2 linked regions of the Kluyveromyces lactis genome follow. Each later gene encodes a partner of the first gene's protein in a complex. Links are inferred from orthologs where the notes say so. Each region holds a gene or a part of one and is shown on either strand. Other genes may lie near its edges. The genes, in order: KLLA0_F03641g and COX6.

Region 1 (8,951 bases):
GAAAAGCTTGTACAGCAATTTATTGAAATTATTGAATATTGTGTTACTTCAAAGATATAGGAAAACTAAAGCTGGTACTTGATTATTTCCCTAGACGCTGGTAACCCATAAGAAAACCGTTCTTATCTCATCTTGAATTCCTGGCCAAAGAAATTCGGTAAGAAACTTATTTGGTTATAATTATATTAAACATTTGATCATACTTGCAAGTCCTTTTCAATACCCAACACCGAGCGATATGGAGGCACCGCAGAGAATAAGTACAAGGTCACATCATTCGATGCAAAATAAAAATTCAAAGAACCTTTGTCTTCGAATAGGTGATTCCCCAACGAAAAACAAACTAATAATGGTGGATTCAAAACCAAATGAAAGCAATGATACTTTCGCAGTGCCATTGCGCCACCAGCTTACTAAACGTGTAAGTGAAGCACAGATATACACTTTACCGCCACAGCTTAAATCTGCCAGATCCACACCCTCTACACCACAATTACCGTCTGGCAGTTCGGGCTTTGATTCAGCCGCTTCACCCTCATCGTCTACGTCTTCCTCGCCTTTCAATAAACCAACACTTCCAACAATCAACACCAAATTTCACAATAGGCCGAGGGCCACGACAATTGCGACAAGTGTACCTCAGATACAGACGCCCAGTAATGATTCAATGGAAAGCACGACACGGTATTGGGTTCTTCAAGAAAATACGCCCATGTCCTCTACAAATTATGATAATGATATGAAGAGCATCCCATACAATACCCATTCTGATGAAGACTCACCGAGCTATTCAGAATCATACAGAGAGAAATATTATCCCAGTGGACCGTTACTTGTCGTCCCTCCTTTCATATATTTGTATTCTGAACCATCATTAAAAGAAGTAATGGATTACGACGTAATAATAAACGTTGCAAAGGAGATTACCAACTACAAGGAACAACTGCCTCTATCCAAGCAAGGTTGCTATTATCATTTTACTTGGTCTCATACCTCACAAATTACTAAAAACCTACCACAACTAACAGAACTAATACAGAATGCCTATGCCAGCAAAAAAAAGGTGCTAATCCACTGTCAATGTGGAGTATCAAGATCAGCTTCCTTGATAGTAGCTTACATGATGAGATACGACAAATTAAGCTTGAATGAAGCATATAATAAATTGAAGTCTGTCGCCAGAGAAATAAGTCCAAATATGAGTTTGTTATTCCAACTAATGGAATGGGAAGATTGGCTTAACAATTGTGACTCAATCAATGATAACTGTCGGAAACAGTCATTCGAGTCCATCTCGGAATTCGGTGAACTCTCTCTGTGAGATTGTATGATATAAAACGCAATTTTAGGGATACCCATACAAAGTATATAGTAGCCTAAACACTACTCTGTAATAATACGCCGCGGATCTTCTGTTTGGGCAAACTATCAAAACGTACCAAGTGATAATTCTGTTCTTAAAAACATTAAACTTTTGAAGGTTTCTAAGTTATGATATAAGGTAAATAAAGCTGGTGACAAGGGAGAATAATGCAAAGAAACCATTAGATAATACTGTCCTCCCACTTATTATACTTCGGACTTTACGTTACTCGAAGGATTCATTCAGAAGAGTGCGAATTATGGAAAATCAGAGGCCATTCATAACTTTCAAACCTTTCTGAAAAAACCGAGTAATAACCATGAGCGAACCTGTCAAAAAAAGAAGCTTGGGCAGTTATCTATCTCGTCTCGAAGAGAGAAGAGAAGAACGAGAAAGATCAGAGCAACAGCAGCGAGAAAGTCCTAAGCCAGTGGGTGAAAATGGGAATTATTCTGTTACCAATGTTCCAGTAAAGGAGGAAGAGGTATCTCAAAAGGTAACTTCAACTGATCAGAACAGTACAAAACAACCATCAGACGAACCCTATGTCGTTAGCCAAGCAAACAGCTCTGACCAGAAAGTTGGATCTCCTTTGAATAATCAAGAGTCAATACCGGTGAGACAAGCGGAAACGAAAGGACCTATTAATGAAATAAAACAGGAAACGGATGTAGAAGAAAAGAAAAATCTACCGAAAGTAGGGAGAAATAAGCATTCTGACGAAGAATATAGTAGTGCACTCAGTGAAGTTGAAAGTGACGCACCGACAGAGCCTGCATCGCCACCAAGACCAAAAATGGGGAGACTAATACGAGGTGATCAACTTGAAAGCGGAAACAACAGTCGACAATCAAGTGCTCCAGTATTGACAAATGATGGGGAATCCGATTCTGATCTTTCCGATTTAGATGAGGCTCGTACAGCTAAAATATCAAGCAGTGCGATTCACGAAGATTCCTCTCCGGTGAAACATTATAATGAACACAAGCGCAAATCCTCTAGTATAGAAAACTCCTCCAATCACAAGAAGCAAAAACATTCTGCCGGGAAAAAGATACCGAAGACTAAGCGTGGAGTACATAGGGATGCCGGAGGCAGGACAAAACTACAAATTGCTTGTGATAAAGGCAAATATGATTTGGCAAAAAAACTTATTGAAGAAGACGGCTATGACGTTAACGACCAAGACAACGCTGGAAATACGCCACTACACGAAGCAGCTCTAAATGGTCATTCAGCAATTGTCGAGTTGCTCGTAAGAAATGGAGCTAATGTTAATATTCAATCATATGATATGTTTCTAGATACGCCTCTTATTGATGCTTCCGCGAATGGCCACATAAATGTTGTAAAATATCTTCTAGATCACGGAGCAGATCCAACAATGGTAAATGCCAAAGGTCTAAGTGCAATTGAATCTATTGAGGAGGAATCAGACATGGATAATGATGATAGAAGAATAGTGCACGATATGAAAGATATGTTAAAGAGAGCAACGAGGAAATATATAAAACATTCCCATCGCACCTTACAGTCTAGTTCCATGTCAAGACATTCAGATGATATAGACAAACAACTCAACCATGATGACGACTTTTATTGGACTGATATCAGTTCAAAATTGGGTAAAAACAAGCTTTTGAAAGCTTCCAAAGAGGGGAAATTAGCATACGTCGGTTCGTACCTTGAAAACGGTGGTAGACCTGATTTCAGATGTTTCCTTGAGAGTTGCATATATGGTCATGATGACGTAGTAAGTTTATTTTTAGCCTTTGGCGCACAAGTTAATATGAGTAACAAAGAAGGTCAAACTCCGTTGATGCTATCTGTCGGGCGTGGACATGTCAACGTCGTGAAACTTTTACTCGAAGCCGGGGCGGATCCACAGAAAACTGACAAACGAAAGAAAACTGCCTTGCATTATGCTAACCACAGCTCTCTTGGTCTAACGGATCCTGATGAAGTGAATTTACTCAAAGCAGCGGTGAGGGCAAAATATGGATACGAAGTTTCAAACAACAGCGATGAAGAGGGGGAGGAAGATTCTGAAGGGAAATCTCCTTCACCTAGAGAAATATCGTCAATTCCATCCACCAAAGGAGAAGAGCAAGATCGTTCTTTGGAAATTCGTAAAGATGATAGTCCTTATCATTCAGAACCACAATCTAAAATCGGAAATATCAATGAGGAAAAGCCAAAATTATTACCTGATTCTCAAACGACAGCAGAAACTGCTTCCCTAGTCAGGCCAAGTCTAGAGAGACTAGACTCAACAAAATCAACATCTTCAACATCATTAACTCATCGTTATAAAAGTGCATCTCCTACACATCAACTATCCACTCCGCCTATTCTTCCGAAAGAAAGCGAAGAAGAGAGAGCCGCAAGGTTGAAGAGCGAAGAAGAGTACAGGCAAAAGAGACTGCAACAGAAGAAAAGGAAAGAACAGGAATTCTTAAACAGATTAGCTGAAGATGAACGGAAGAGAGTAGAAGAGAAGGAGAAATTGAAGCAACAGGAGGAACAGAGGCTAGAACAGGCCAAGAAAGAGGAACTATTAAAAGAAGAAGAACTTCGAAACAGAAACGAAGTAGAAAAAAGATTAAAGATCAGAGAGCGTTATCCAATTGGATTGAGAGTCATTGATTTCAAAGATCTTGAGAATTACGATAAATTTGGGCCTGTGTACTACTTCACTGAAGATGGATCAAAATGGGTGCTAGATCTTCAAATAAGTGTCATTATCAAATCCAGCACCGAAGAGTTAAAGAAACAATCATCAGAATTTAAAGAAGTGGAAAAGGGTCAGTACCCACAACTATGGAATCTTTTCAAATTCATCTTCTTATATGGCGGCAGCGATAATGCAAACAACTCGAAGTCCTTGCCCTGGAGGCAATTGTCGGAAATTGACCAAACAGAGTATGTAAAATTCTATGAACTCCCACTAACATGGATTAAACTATCGCGATTGAACCTGCAAGATTTAAACCCAAAGATGAATGACTGGATTGAAAAAAATATGATAGAATTTATCCCGGCATCTACATCTGCCTTGTACAGAACAAGAAAGGTCCTTTTACGTGATAGCAAAAGACCTGGCCAAAACGAAAATAATGCTAACACACGCTTTGTCCCTGCCAAATATCAATCACGCTCCAAAATGTTACCATGGTTGAATGCCTCCAAAGCGCTTTGGTAGGGTCATTATACATAGCATAAGAAGCTTAACACTGTAACAATACATAAGAAAAGATAGAAGAAGAACGTCTTCCTCGGAAAATAGAAGTCACGTGGATTTTATATACACGTGACTCGGACCTTTGCAGATGATTTTCCACGCCCTTCATTCATCACTTCCCCAACCCGTACTATGCGACTGTCTTTCCGGGAACATGATTGGCCAGAGTCTGATTTAGTAACGTTAAATCCGAAAAAAAGTTCCATCTCGTATGAAATGACCTAAAACACACCATCATATCATAAACCTTCGATTCTCCTTCGAGATAAACAATAGAGTAGAAAAAAAAACTGTTACCAGCCATTTTTCTTCGAAGCGTTTTCTTGTTAGCGTTTTTTTTTTCGGCCCACTTCCGTTGGTGCTATTCACCTTTTATAATGGAGAAACATGAAAAAAAAAGCTGTAAATTTTTCATATAATTTAAATAAAAGATAAAATATAAAGCTGATTTTAGCTAGTTTCACAGATTTGAACATTGTTTTGGTATAGTTTCTCTAATTTATTCCAAGGGTTTTCTTGTTTGATATTAGTATTCACAACTAGCGGCCAAAGATTTTATAAAGAGTATGTGCACCGTAAGACGTAACATAATCAGGGGATTGCGAATGGGAATTTTCAATAAGGAACAAATGCGAACTGGAGTTTCCGGAGATAATGGATAAAATCATAAGAAGAACGATTTAAGAGATGTTCTAATTATCATCCCGATGAATAAGGTGGTATAGTCATACCTGATCAGGTTTAAAGTTTTAAATGGATTGGTTGTTTTTTAGTGGATTTGGTTCCTATAAGGGTTTTTATCCATTATCTGTATTTGGTCATGGAGAAAGAAATGGCATTTTGAGAATTCAACATAATAATGATTGTAACTCAGCTGTAAAAGAAGGGATCATGTTTTTCAAGACCAGAATTGATATTTAAACTCTTACTTATTCCACTTGCAATTATCGTCTGATTTTTTTCAGTACAAAGAATCTTATTTTTACTAACAACGATTAAACTGGAAAATGATGGGAAAAATATGTTTTTTCCTTATTGAATCATTTTCAATGTTATTATTACCAACAGTGTTGCGTTCCTCCGTTTCTAGAGTTGCCCGTGTCACTCCTGTCAGATTTGCTCAAACACAAGCCCTATCTAAGGCATCTATCGTCGATTTACCAAACAGATGGGAAGACTTGCCAGCTACTGAACAACAAGATATTGTCCTAAAGCTAGCTGAACGTCAAAAGCTACCATGGACTGAGTTGACTAATGTTGAAAAGCAAGCTGCTTGGTACATTTCTTACGGTGCTTGGGGTCCAAGAAGACCAGTGCACGGTAAGGGTGATGCTGCTTTCATTGCCAAGGGTGTTGCTGCTGGTTTGATTGCCTCTTTGCTAATCTTCGCTGGTATAAGACAACTATCTGGTGATCCACCAAAGACTATGACCAAGGAATGGCAATTAAAGTCTGATGAATATTTGAAGTCCAAGAATGCTAACCCATGGGGTGGTTACTCTCAAGTTCAATCCAAATAATTGTGATTTCTTCTACAGTATAGAATGCATTTTCTCCCTCTCTTCTATTCAGTTTATTTCTATTCTCTACAAACAACAAGAACAAAAAAAAGACACACAGTCGATACTCACCTTCATGATATAGGAGAAGTTCAAACTCTTTCTATTTCCAACTTTTTGAATGGGTTGCGGGTTTTTTTGCGTTTTGTTGAAATTGCAAAACAAGAGCTTTCTTCGGAAGCCTAAACTTGTCCTTTCGCCGTGATTTTGAGAACCACCACACGTTAGAGAATCGAATTTATTTAATATTATTTTATTAACGAAGAATAACATATCCTTCTATCACCATTAAATTAATTCACAATTAAGAATAAAAATCATACCAAACATTTGAATTTGAACCCTATGAAATAGGACTTCTTAGTATCAACATCAAGTTTTAAAAAAATTGAATCCAAAAATTTACACAAACAATATCCAAAGCCAAAAATTAATGATTTATAAACGGACACTTATTTAAATTTGAGAATCATTTCACGTATTCTCTTTACGTTTCATTTATTTTATCGAAATCAATTAAATACATTATTCTATCATTCTGAATTCGAGAATTCTTTTCTTATCCAGGAAAGATTCATTAACATTCTCACTTCGAACTATCAATCCAACAGAAAACCCTTAGCTATTTAAATTTGACTAGAGAAAGGCTGTTTCAAAGTTATAAGCATTTCAACGCACGGTATGTAACAGGCCGTTTATTCTACTAGCATCTGGCTCAAAGCTTGAGAAGGACGATCGCTGACAGGATCACAAACAGGAAACGAAAAGAAAAAATTGAAAATGAAAAATTCAATACAGAAAGCGCATCTCATCTCAACGCATATATTTGGCCAATAGAGGAAATTACTTACAGAGGAAGACACATGTCCTCATAACCCCGATAATAATGTCCTTTGCATTTGGCTTCTCTAACGAAGATTTCAGTGATGATGAACTAGATATTGCCAATCAAAATACAGATGATAAGCCATCTACTTCTGTCCCTCGAATCAATCCATTGGATTCCGAAGTGTTACTAGGAGAATCAGTGAATCAACCCAAATATATTGATCTGGATGATCTACTACGTTCACTCGCGAATGTCCGTCTATCTTTTGAAGAAGTGCAAACTCCAACAACAAACTCTGTTCTTTACAGACGTGAACTATTTGACGTTAAACATCAATTGATGTCAGAAGTGGATTCAGGCACAAATAATGTTGAATTGGAGATTTTGATGGGTGAAACCAATGAAGATTTGAGGAGAAATGTGTACGAAGGTGGTTTGAAATCATGGGAATGTTCAATAGATCTAGTAGACTCATTTGTTAAAAATCCAGCACAAATTTCCCAGTGTCAAAATATAATAGAGCTAGGATGTGGGACGTCGCTTCCATCGGAATTTCTTTTTATGGAATATCTAAGATCCAACATCAATACCGGGATTAATTTCACATTATGTGACTATAATGAAAGTGTGATTAGATTGGTATCCATTCCAAATTTGATCGTATCCTGGGCGAAAACTGTGATCAGTAATGAACAATGGATAGAGCTACAAGCTTCTGAAGATTCGAACATCCCAATCGCCTCTGATGAATTACTTCTGACAGAAAAATTACTTGAAGCTTTCAAGTCTGATTTAGAATTTAGAAATGTATCGTTTTCGTTCATTTCAGGTTCTTGGGGAAGGAAATTCATGGATGTTTTAATTGAACACAAGGCTACCCCGTTATCAAACACCTTAATATTAACCGCAGAAACTATATATCAGCCTGATACGCTCCCGGTTATATCAGAAACCTTAATTGAGCTAATCGTGGATAACAAAAAGAACTCATACCCGGTGAAATGCCTGCTTGCAGCAAAAGACATATATTTCGGCGTTGGGGGCAGCATAGTGGATTTTGAAAACTATATCGCCAAAAGGATAGCAACCGATAACCTTCCATTATGTTTAAATAAATTTAAGGTAAATGCTGGATTGAAAAGATCAATTGTACTAATAGAGTGAATCGCCACGTATGACTCTTTTTAAGGCTTGATCATCAATCACGTGATCAAAATCACTTTGTCGACATTGTCAGATTCATATAATATCGTGTAATTCAATCTTTAAATATAGCTTGCATTAAGCGAATGAGCATCAGCTGTACTATAAGGAGATAACTACTGTACTTAGAACCCCAGAATGGCTCAGAACGATCCACTTCAAGGCTTTGAGGATTTTCTCGAGGCTGATTTTCAGCCATTGCGCTTTGCAAACGATCTATTAAAAGTTACAAATAATGGCACAGATACGGATGTCTTGGACCTGAAGACGTGTGTGAAGAGATGCTCGTATGATCTCCAAGAATTAGACAGAAGAATTGAAGGTGCTATCAAGACCAACCCAAGCCATGTGCTAGAACAAATTGAGAAGAGAAAGAAGGAAAAAAGCTTTGTAGGAGATACTCTCAAATCAAACACGGAATATTTGTCTATGTCGTACAACAGATTACAACAAGACATCTTAGAGCCATTTGAAAGGGCACTTAAACTGCAGACAGTTTCTAGTAAAATTCATCAAACTACAACATTACTGAGAAGTTCCTTAATATATGTGCACATGATATCTCAGTTGCAAATGATGCCATTAGAGACAGACTCTACTGATGATGAGCAACTAGCATGCGGGTTAAAAATAGCTGCCTTACATTCACAATTGAAGATTAATATTGAACAAAATCCCAACCTGGCAACTTTGCAGCTGATAAAATCATGCGAGAACAATGTGGTTTCTCCAAATCGACAGGAATTATTGCGATAT
Region 2 (8,649 bases), about 1.7 Mb from region 1:
GGTAGAATCAGAATATATTTCGTATATTTTTGATAGATACCACCACACTGCAGATGTTTGATAACCTTCTATCGATTTATCGACTAGTTCTTCGAATAAGAACTTAAGTCTGGCTACAGCAGAAGAAGTTTCGAGTGACGTGGCAGAATTTCTATGTAGCTCCTTTTGGTTTATTTTGGAGTTATGCTTGAGATCCGTATCCAGGTTTGCCTCTTCATCAGGAAGCACGATTTTTGCCAAACCGATCAATGCCTCGACAGATGTAGAGTCATAGTGCAAAACTTTTTCGAATTCCGCTGTCGCTTTTTCAGAGTGACCATGTGTATACAACACGAATCCTTGTGCGAGGTTGTGGTTCAAATTAACATATTTTGAAGTTACGTTCTTAAACTCATCTAACGCAGCCTTTACATTTTCGATATCGTCATTTTCCAGGTATAATTCCAATGCAAACAACCAAATCTTCTGCAATAGATAGTCGTTACTCTGATTGATTTGAGGACCAAGGGGTTCTGAAGCATCTGAAAAGAGACGCTGATAAAGTTCGAATACCTCTGGCAAAATTTCAAGTGCATCTTCAAGTGCAAACATGTCTCTAACTAGTTGAAGTTGAGTTAATTTAATGTGAATAAACTGCCATTTTTCATCAATTGTGAATTGCCTGCCTTCATCGAAAAGTTCACACATTGATTGAATGACAGAATTGATAATTTTGAAACTTACTTGTAAATCTTCATTGATGCAGGATTCACATAACGCAAGAAGATGCCAACTAGCGAAATGTTCTGGATGAAGTGTTAATATTTGTTTTTTTAGATAAGCGATGCATTGGTCAATTTGTCTTAATGTAGCCAAATGATAAGCGAACTTAAACTTTAATGACACAGAAGCGTTCAAAGACGTTTGCAAAGAATTCGATAGGTAAAATATCTGACTGTGATCTACCAAGGCTGGGAGAGAAGAAGCGCTAGTTTCGTATAACGTTTCCCATGAACTGGATAGAACAGAAGCTGTTGATGAGGCTAGACATAAGTCCAATACATCTGAGCTGCCTTCTAGTGCCTTTTGTTTTTCTATAATAGGGATACTGTACTTGTTGTGAATTCTTTCTAGCAACTTTAAGAAATCGGATGATACGTTTGCTGGCATGAAGAACGGTTCAAATGGCGTTTTACATGTAGACAGAATGAATTGGTACGATGAAACTAAGTCTAATAAGTCAGGATACCTTTTGTTAAGTTCGTAATATTTGTTTGAATAATTGACCAAATTGGTAAAGTTTAGAATGCTCCTCTTTAGATCGACCTTTCGATAAAAGAGCATTGCTGATTTTGCAACCGAAATACTTTGGAAACTTTTTTCCATACTATCAATGATAAATTGCTCCCATTCTTTCTTCACATTTAAATTATTTATTTTGAGATGCTCTTGTAGGACCATGTGGAATTGTTCTAGTTCAAAATTATTTGATTCATCAGCATTAGGGAAACGACTTTTCTTCAATAATGAATGGCTATAAGATAGAAGATTTGAGTCAGTTGCAGAACCATTAAGGGTCAAAAGCATCCATTGGAATGGTGTTTTTGGCTTAAAATGAGAGAGGTCCAGCCCTTTTATTATTGCCTGCAAATAATGCCAAGTTAAGCCATCAGAATATTTCGGAATAGTCCAGCTTTCAGAGGAAAACTCAGCTAAGTCGACATTTCCCTTATAAAATAGCCTTTCCAAATCTAGCATTCTTCCAAATCTATCGTATCCATTAACGCTGCCTAACTTCTTAGAGACGTACTGCAACCCCTTTTCCTTTTCATCAAGTTCACAGAAAACAATACCATAGATATTGTCCGCAATTGCACAGTGTAATTCATCCTTTAGAACGGGCAACTTCTCCACTTCAGATAAAAGGGCCGACAGTGCACTGAATTTTGTCTTTGTAGAAATGTTTATGTGATAATGGGCTCTATAATGAAGAGATAATAATTGATCCAGCAAAGCATCTGACGATTGAAAAACGCTTGAACCAATTAGTCGAGAATCTAAAGCATGATTCACCGAATCATCAATGTATCCTCTGGTCATAGTACAATTGACTTCCGAATGCTTCCGTGATTCAACCAATTGGTAAGCAAATACAAGAGTGCTCAGTGTATTACTCAAGGCTCTTTCTCTTGTTTACTCTCTGTGCTCGGTGAAAATAGCTTTTAGTTTATTTTACATTTTGACATGTTTCCTCACCATCTAACGGTGCATAATGGAAGTGGAAGTGAAGAAAAAGTGATCTTACCCGGATATTCTTTTGTAAGGTATTGCCCTTCCTCACCATGGGAGTATATTTATGGGAACCTAATAGCTACTACAGTTATTATATATGAGGGTATAGATATAGCATCTTACTGATGTTTAATTGTGCAGTTTGTTGAACGATGAATGCGGTATTATATAAATCTTTCTACCTAAGAGGCTAACATAAAGTTATGACAAAAGGGTGTCAGCTAAATGTGCTTCTCATAATCATTTCTTATTTTCGGATCCTGGTGTAGTTGTAGTTTCAGCTTTTTTCTTCTTCTTCGCGGCATCGATTACTTCTACCTTAACTTCTTTCATACCTTTTTCCTCTAGTAAAGAATGTATATATGCTTCTACTTCATCTGCCAAATCACCTTGAACAATCACTTCTTCTTTCTTCTCGGCATTTTTGGAGATAGAACAACCTGTAGCAAATTTGGATGCAAAAGTTTTGGAAAGTTTCTTCATGTCAATTTCGAAAACTTCTAGTCCAGAGATAGCAATCATACACTTCCGTTTTGTTCTTGCTTCTCTTCTGATCACAACTTTAGACGATAATTTCTTAGCCAATTCTCTTTCCTCTCTAGCCTGTTGTTTTCTTTCTAGTTTCTCTAGGGCCTTTTCAAGCTTCTCCTCTCTTTCATCACCAATAGATGATTCTGCCAATTGTTTAGACACATCTTCAGTGACATCGCCATACCATTTGGTGTACAATTCTGGGTGGTTTTCTTGTAACCAAGCTTTACAACGTTTGAATTTACCGGAAAATTCACAGTATTCAGCAGGAAAGTCACACACACCACAGTATATAACGTTAGTGAGAGGCATTCTGTATATTCTTCTGTCTCTTTAATTAATTCTAACGTATAAATCTCAAACTGAATCAAGCGTAACTTAATTACACGTAATGTTATTCTGAACACACCTCATCTCATGCATTAGTGATTTTCTGTTTCAATATTTTTTTCAATATTTCACTGTAAAGATCGATTCACTTTCTTCAGTAACTACGTAATCTACTACTTACATATACTAAGTGTTTACTTAGACATGCACAAATAGCGGCGAACTTTGGTTACACTCACACTGAATACACTTCTTTGGAATGGCAACGTATGATGATTTTGCTACTGATACTGTAATAATAACGTCAAAGACAAAGGACGTGTGCTCCAAGCCCTTGTTTGATGAGATCGTAAATAAGGTGCAAGAATGTGTGGTGGATACTCGACAGATTTACGGTGCGGATGCCGTGCGTGTCATTACACTTCCTGGATTCAAGAGAATATTGGTAACATCGCCTAATATTGAGGCGAGCCGTGAAGTGAAATCCTTGAACCCATTATTCCCTGATTGTAAATTTGGGTTCTCCATCACGAATCACGTGGCTGAATCGAATTCACAAGCTGGATTTCCACACGCTGGCGCTGACACTGTGATGAATCACCTTAAAGTTCCCCCTGCCCAGACATTATTTCTAGTGTCTCCGCCAGCGTCACCTCCTCCGGGATTTGATTACTCTAGGCTTGAAGAATGGCCTAATCGTAACACGGGACATGAAGAGGCTGGTGCAGGTATCGACGATGATTCAAAACCTGCTGTTCGAAAAGTGTTTGACAATGGACATACCCGAATAATAGTTGAGGGGTCTACAAACTCTGAACCAAACCATACGGCTTTGATGCAACATATCAAGACCGCGATGCCACCTATCTCAACGTTTGACGATATAGAGGATTAACTATCGCGTTTAGAGACATAATAACCCGCAGTTTTCTGCGGAGATGAGGGATCGAACAGGGGAACCTGCCTACCGAGAAAAAAAAAACCTTTGAAACCACGCGACTTCCGGGTAATTGTATTTGTATTGAAGTCACGTTCTCCCGCTGTCCTATTACCCGACTATGTGGTAAAAATCATCGGTGACGAACCAATCATATGCCAATACGTTCTCCTTCCCCACAAACAAGACACCCTACAGAACGGTCGGACCAGTCTCAATCAATGCCCATTACCCCCCAGCATATTTCACGAATGTGTTTTATTGGATTCTATAGATACTGCTTGTGGGGTTTATTATCACGGACTTATTATCTTGTTTTATAGGACATTATTTCGAAGATTATGAGAGTTAAGGTTTCATTTCCTTTGAACATGAGATCTTTAATCTGACATCGCTCGACTGAAAAATGACAGGCAGCAGAAAGTCAAGAAATACTCAATTCAAATAATTAAAATCGAACTAGATAAACGACTTGCTCGTAAGTACCACATGTAGGATTTTTTGGAGTGTGAACTTTTGTTGCAACTCTGCCGATGAATTATGTTAGCCCTCTTTTTTTCTTCCATCCATTTTCCATAGACACACTATTTAAAAAACTGATAATACCACTTTTTTGTAAACTACTAAGAAGATGATGCATACAAAGAATAAGATACAATAAAAGTTGTTTCGAATGGAACGACTCACTCGAGGTTCAAATTTGTGCTATTCGTTTCGCAAGTTATTACTCTTACTTTCCTTTTAACAATCTCGTTTTTATCTAGTTCAAAGACGTAGCTATCCACTAGTTTAAGTATTTGAACTGTTTGTTGATATTTGTCCTATGCGATTTTAAGTATTTAATTTTTTTTTTTTCATTCTTCATTACTTCAAATTTTTAAAAAAACTCCAGAGAAAATTATCGGTCGATTTACCTTTTACCTAACCTATTTGATATATCTTTAAAGCGTTTTACATTAAGTTTTAATTACAATAGAACTCGACTTTGAATCTTTTGTGAATACGGTTTGTTATAATTCCTTTTAGAATAGCTATTTGATCATCTTAATACAGTGAATCAAATCCAAATCCCGAATCAACCAATACAAAGAAAAATATGTTGTCCAGAACTTTGTTGAGAGCTGCTATGCCAGTAAGAGCCGTTGCTCCGGTTATGATGAGAGCTGCTGTTGCCCCAAGAGTTGGTCAATTACAATCTCAATTTGTTTCTATCAGAAAGTACTCCGATGCACACGAAGAAGAAACCTTTGAAGAATTCACCGCCAGATACGAAAAGGAATTCGAAGAGGCTTACGATTTATTCGAAGTCCAAAGAGTGTTGAATAACTGTTTCTCTTACGATTTGGTTCCAGCCCCAGCTGTTATCGAAAAGGCCTTGAGAGCCGCCAGAAAGGTTAACGACTTGCCAACTGCTGTCAGAGTGTTCGAAGCCTTGAGATACAAAGTTGAAAACGAAGATCAATACAAGGCTTACTTGGATGAATTGAAGGATGTTAGAGAAGAATTGGGAATTCCTTTGAAGGAGGAATTGTTCCAATAAGTGCATATAGAAGAACATTTAATCTAAAGTCACCGGCTTTATCATCTTCTCCCATACTATTTTCACTTTTTGAGAACCTTTCACTAGGAAGGAAAGAACAATACTTATCCACAACACCAACAACCAAATGAAACCAAAATAAATATCATCAAAAACTATATTTACGAACGTGTCCCATCCTATGACACCATATATTCTTGTCACACATTTGTTTGTTTGAGGAGGTTTTTTTGGTGCTGACTACTGGTAGTAGCAGATACGAAGACATTATTTATTTGCCAGGACATATACAGAACCGTGAATACAAACCTTCAAGAAACATTTACAAACAATTCAAATAAAATCAAGATTATTATTATTATTATTATTATCATCATCATCACAATTATTATAATTATATATATGTTATACTGACTAAATTATAAGGAAAAGTAGTTATATATCAAACAAACAGCTATTAACATACGCGTTTAGTCTATTTAGCGGTAGACAGAAAAATGTGCTCTTTTGTTTTCACTTGATCGTATGTTAGGTTATTGCACCGTTACGAGCAGAAGTAATTTTATCTTGTTTGAATTCATACAACTGAAGTTTTCGAGTTTTGTTATCTCGTGTATCACCATCTAGTTCAGAAATAATGCCACATTACTGAGAAGTTCGATATACCAAAGATACTATTATTGATGTAGAATTGATATATAAATTCTTCTGCAGTACAAACTGAATACTATCAACCGATGGTTAAAGCCAAGGTGAGCGTTATATAAATTCTTATAGGAAACAGATAAGATCCAGCAATCTCTTTGAACGTAAATATCAGCTCCTTTATACCTGATTTTATTCGTTCTACTAGTATATCTCTGGGTAATATATAGATAGATAGATACAATTGTAAGATTAATATTGGTGTTCGATGTCTGTGTTTCTGTCGGTTCGACTACTCGTCATCACTGTCCATCCATGCTGCTCTTCCTCTTTTGTTAGATATTTTACCGTCATCGTCTGAGTCTGATTCTGGTTCTGAGTCTTTTCGTTCGGTCGCTCCTTTTCTTCCGTAATCCGCATCTTCGTCTTCTTCTTGTTCTTCTTCTTCTTCTTCGTCAGAATCTATTCCAACAGCTTTTCTACGGTTTGAAGAAGGCTCAGTATCAGAGTCACTCTCGTAGTCACTGTCACTGTTTTCATCTTCAGATTCGCTATGTTTCCCTTCGTTAACTTCCTCAACCGCATCAAACCAGTCACTATATACATCTACCGGTTGTGATAGACCATTAATGCGGGTTTGGAACGATTGTCCACAAATCTTACAATGAAGCGAGCCAATGTTATTCTTTTTGTCCATTGTTACGCTCACAGAGCGTTCGTGATTACAGAAGAGACAATTGAATGCCGTATCTAACCTCTGTACTATCTTCTTGGCTGGACCTCTGGATGACTTCTTTCTCTTACCCATGTCTAATGCTCTTCTTATTTGTCTTGTGAGAGCGTATGCTTACCCCTGCGGCTAGATTTGATTAATATATGCTAATATGCCTTTTGCAGTATAAATGAACGGGGACGATGACTATGTTTACGATATAATAATAATAATAATAATAATAGCAACTTAATAACTCATAAATCAGATTCGTGCGGCGTATTCTCTGTTAAGGTATCCTTTATATCGATCGTGAGTCCTGTTTGACAGCCGAAAAAACCTAACTCAAAAATAGTACTGTTCCGAAATAAACCAGAGAAAGAAACCCTAAAATACACAGTTTAAGCCCTTTTGTATTGTAACCCCATTCACTGAACGTAGCCCGTTGCTCATTAGTAACTTTTGCACAAACACGCACCGAGATTCAATATCAGATTCGGTTACTCTTTATTTCTTAAGTGTCAAATGTTATCAAATTTCAAGAAAAGTTTCAAATCATATATTACGGCCTTCGCTTTCAAAAAGCAATATTTACTAACTACGTGAACACAGTGGAGCTCCTGCGAAACAGAAAATTTTTATTTTTGACAATAGAGAGCTCATCTCATCATAGCTCATCTCATCTCATCTCGAAGTATGTTGCACACCTAACACGATTAATAAAGTAATGGTATGTAAAGTATTTAAGTACCTATTCTTATTTCTCAGCTCAAAGGATTGATTAGATATATACTGGATATTTCATAGTTGCCAGTACGAACTCGAGAAGTAAGCTTACCTAGGTGAACCAACAATTTGTTGATCTTTTTCTGAGACAGTGCGAATCAAGTAAGTTAAAAAACGCTTGGAAAGAATCCAGAATATAGAGGAAATAACTCCACTCATCCAGTCTAGTATATCTACAAGCACATTATAAGCAATATCAAAGTTTAGATAATATGGCAACTAAAACTAAGAAAAGCAAGGTTTCGACCAAAGCCACCAAGGCTACTAAGGGCAGTAAAGAGGAAGAAGTCATTCCAGTTAACAGAGTTAACAATGCTGTTATTAAATTGCAAGAATATTTGAAGGAAAATGGATCAAATGACAATCAGTTAATTGATGATTCTGAATTGGAGGCTCAGCTACAGTTGATCCTAGTCAACACTGAATCTTTTACTGGTTCTTTGAAAAACTTCAAACCAAAACTAATTACAGTTCCTCATTCTATCTTCAAGCCATGGAAGGAAGCTAGCACCACCATGGTTAAAGATTTCAAGACTCTTTTGATTCTAAAAGATTCTGATATCAATTCAGTGACATCAGAAGACTTGATCGATCTACTTCCAGAACATATTACTATTGATGCCATCATATCTGGTAAAGATTTGAAGACAAAATACAAGGCTTTTGAAAAGAGGCGTGCATTTGTACAGGATTTTTCTTTCATTCTAGCTGATGACTCGATAGTGACAGCTTTGCCCAAGCTATTAGGTGGTAAAGCATACAGTAAGTTGAATACCACTCCAATTGCCATTAACACAAGATCGGATAACAAGTTTAACAAGACAACTTTGGTAAATAGCATCAAGAGAATTTATGATACTAAAATCCCAGTCAAACTTCCAAGAGGTAACACGATGA

Evidence for each region.
Region 2: the proteins of KLLA0_F03641g (region 1) and COX6 are in contact, whole or in part, in a cryo-EM structure (PDB 8C8Q), measured with the Schizosaccharomyces pombe proteins. The link is inferred for Kluyveromyces lactis from reciprocal best matches to the Schizosaccharomyces pombe genes cox5 and cox6. Residues at the interface, in NP_588158.2 of Schizosaccharomyces pombe: Gln74, Lys75, Gln76, Pro77, Trp78, Thr79, Ile83, Lys86, Lys87, Ala89, Tyr90, Ala93, Phe94, Arg100; in NP_593931.1 of Schizosaccharomyces pombe: Ala90, Arg91, Asn94, Asp95, Phe96, Pro97, Thr98, Ala99, Val100, Arg101, Glu104, Glu129, Leu130, Gly131, Ile132, Val133, Lys135, Leu138, Phe139.

Annotation. Positions count from the first base shown.
Region 1 is NC_006042.1:341,088-350,038, forward strand, and holds KLLA0_F03641g (cytochrome c oxidase subunit IV family protein), read left to right. Parts: upstream 1-5,167; coding exon 5,168-5,168; intron 5,169-5,672; coding exon 5,673-6,124; downstream 6,125-8,951. Other genes in the region: KLLA0_F03597g (dual specificity protein phosphatase family protein), read left to right, coding at 239-1,321; HOS4 (Hos4p), read left to right, coding at 1,683-4,565; HPM1 (protein-histidine N-methyltransferase), read left to right, coding at 7,050-8,156; Golgi transport complex subunit COG5, read left to right, coding at 8,334-8,951. UniProt on the Schizosaccharomyces pombe protein: Component of the cytochrome c oxidase, the last enzyme in the mitochondrial electron transport chain which drives oxidative phosphorylation.
Region 2 is NC_006042.1:2,033,581-2,042,229, reverse strand, and holds COX6 (cytochrome c oxidase subunit VI), read left to right. Parts: upstream 1-5,165; coding exon 5,166-5,609; downstream 5,610-8,649. Other genes in the region: YPP1 (Ypp1p), read right to left, coding at 1-2,079; TMA22 (Tma22p), read right to left, coding at 2,512-3,114; ELF1 (Elf1p), read right to left, coding at 6,547-7,062; CIC1 (Cic1p), read left to right, coding at 7,965-8,649. UniProt on the Schizosaccharomyces pombe protein: Component of the cytochrome c oxidase, the last enzyme in the mitochondrial electron transport chain which drives oxidative phosphorylation.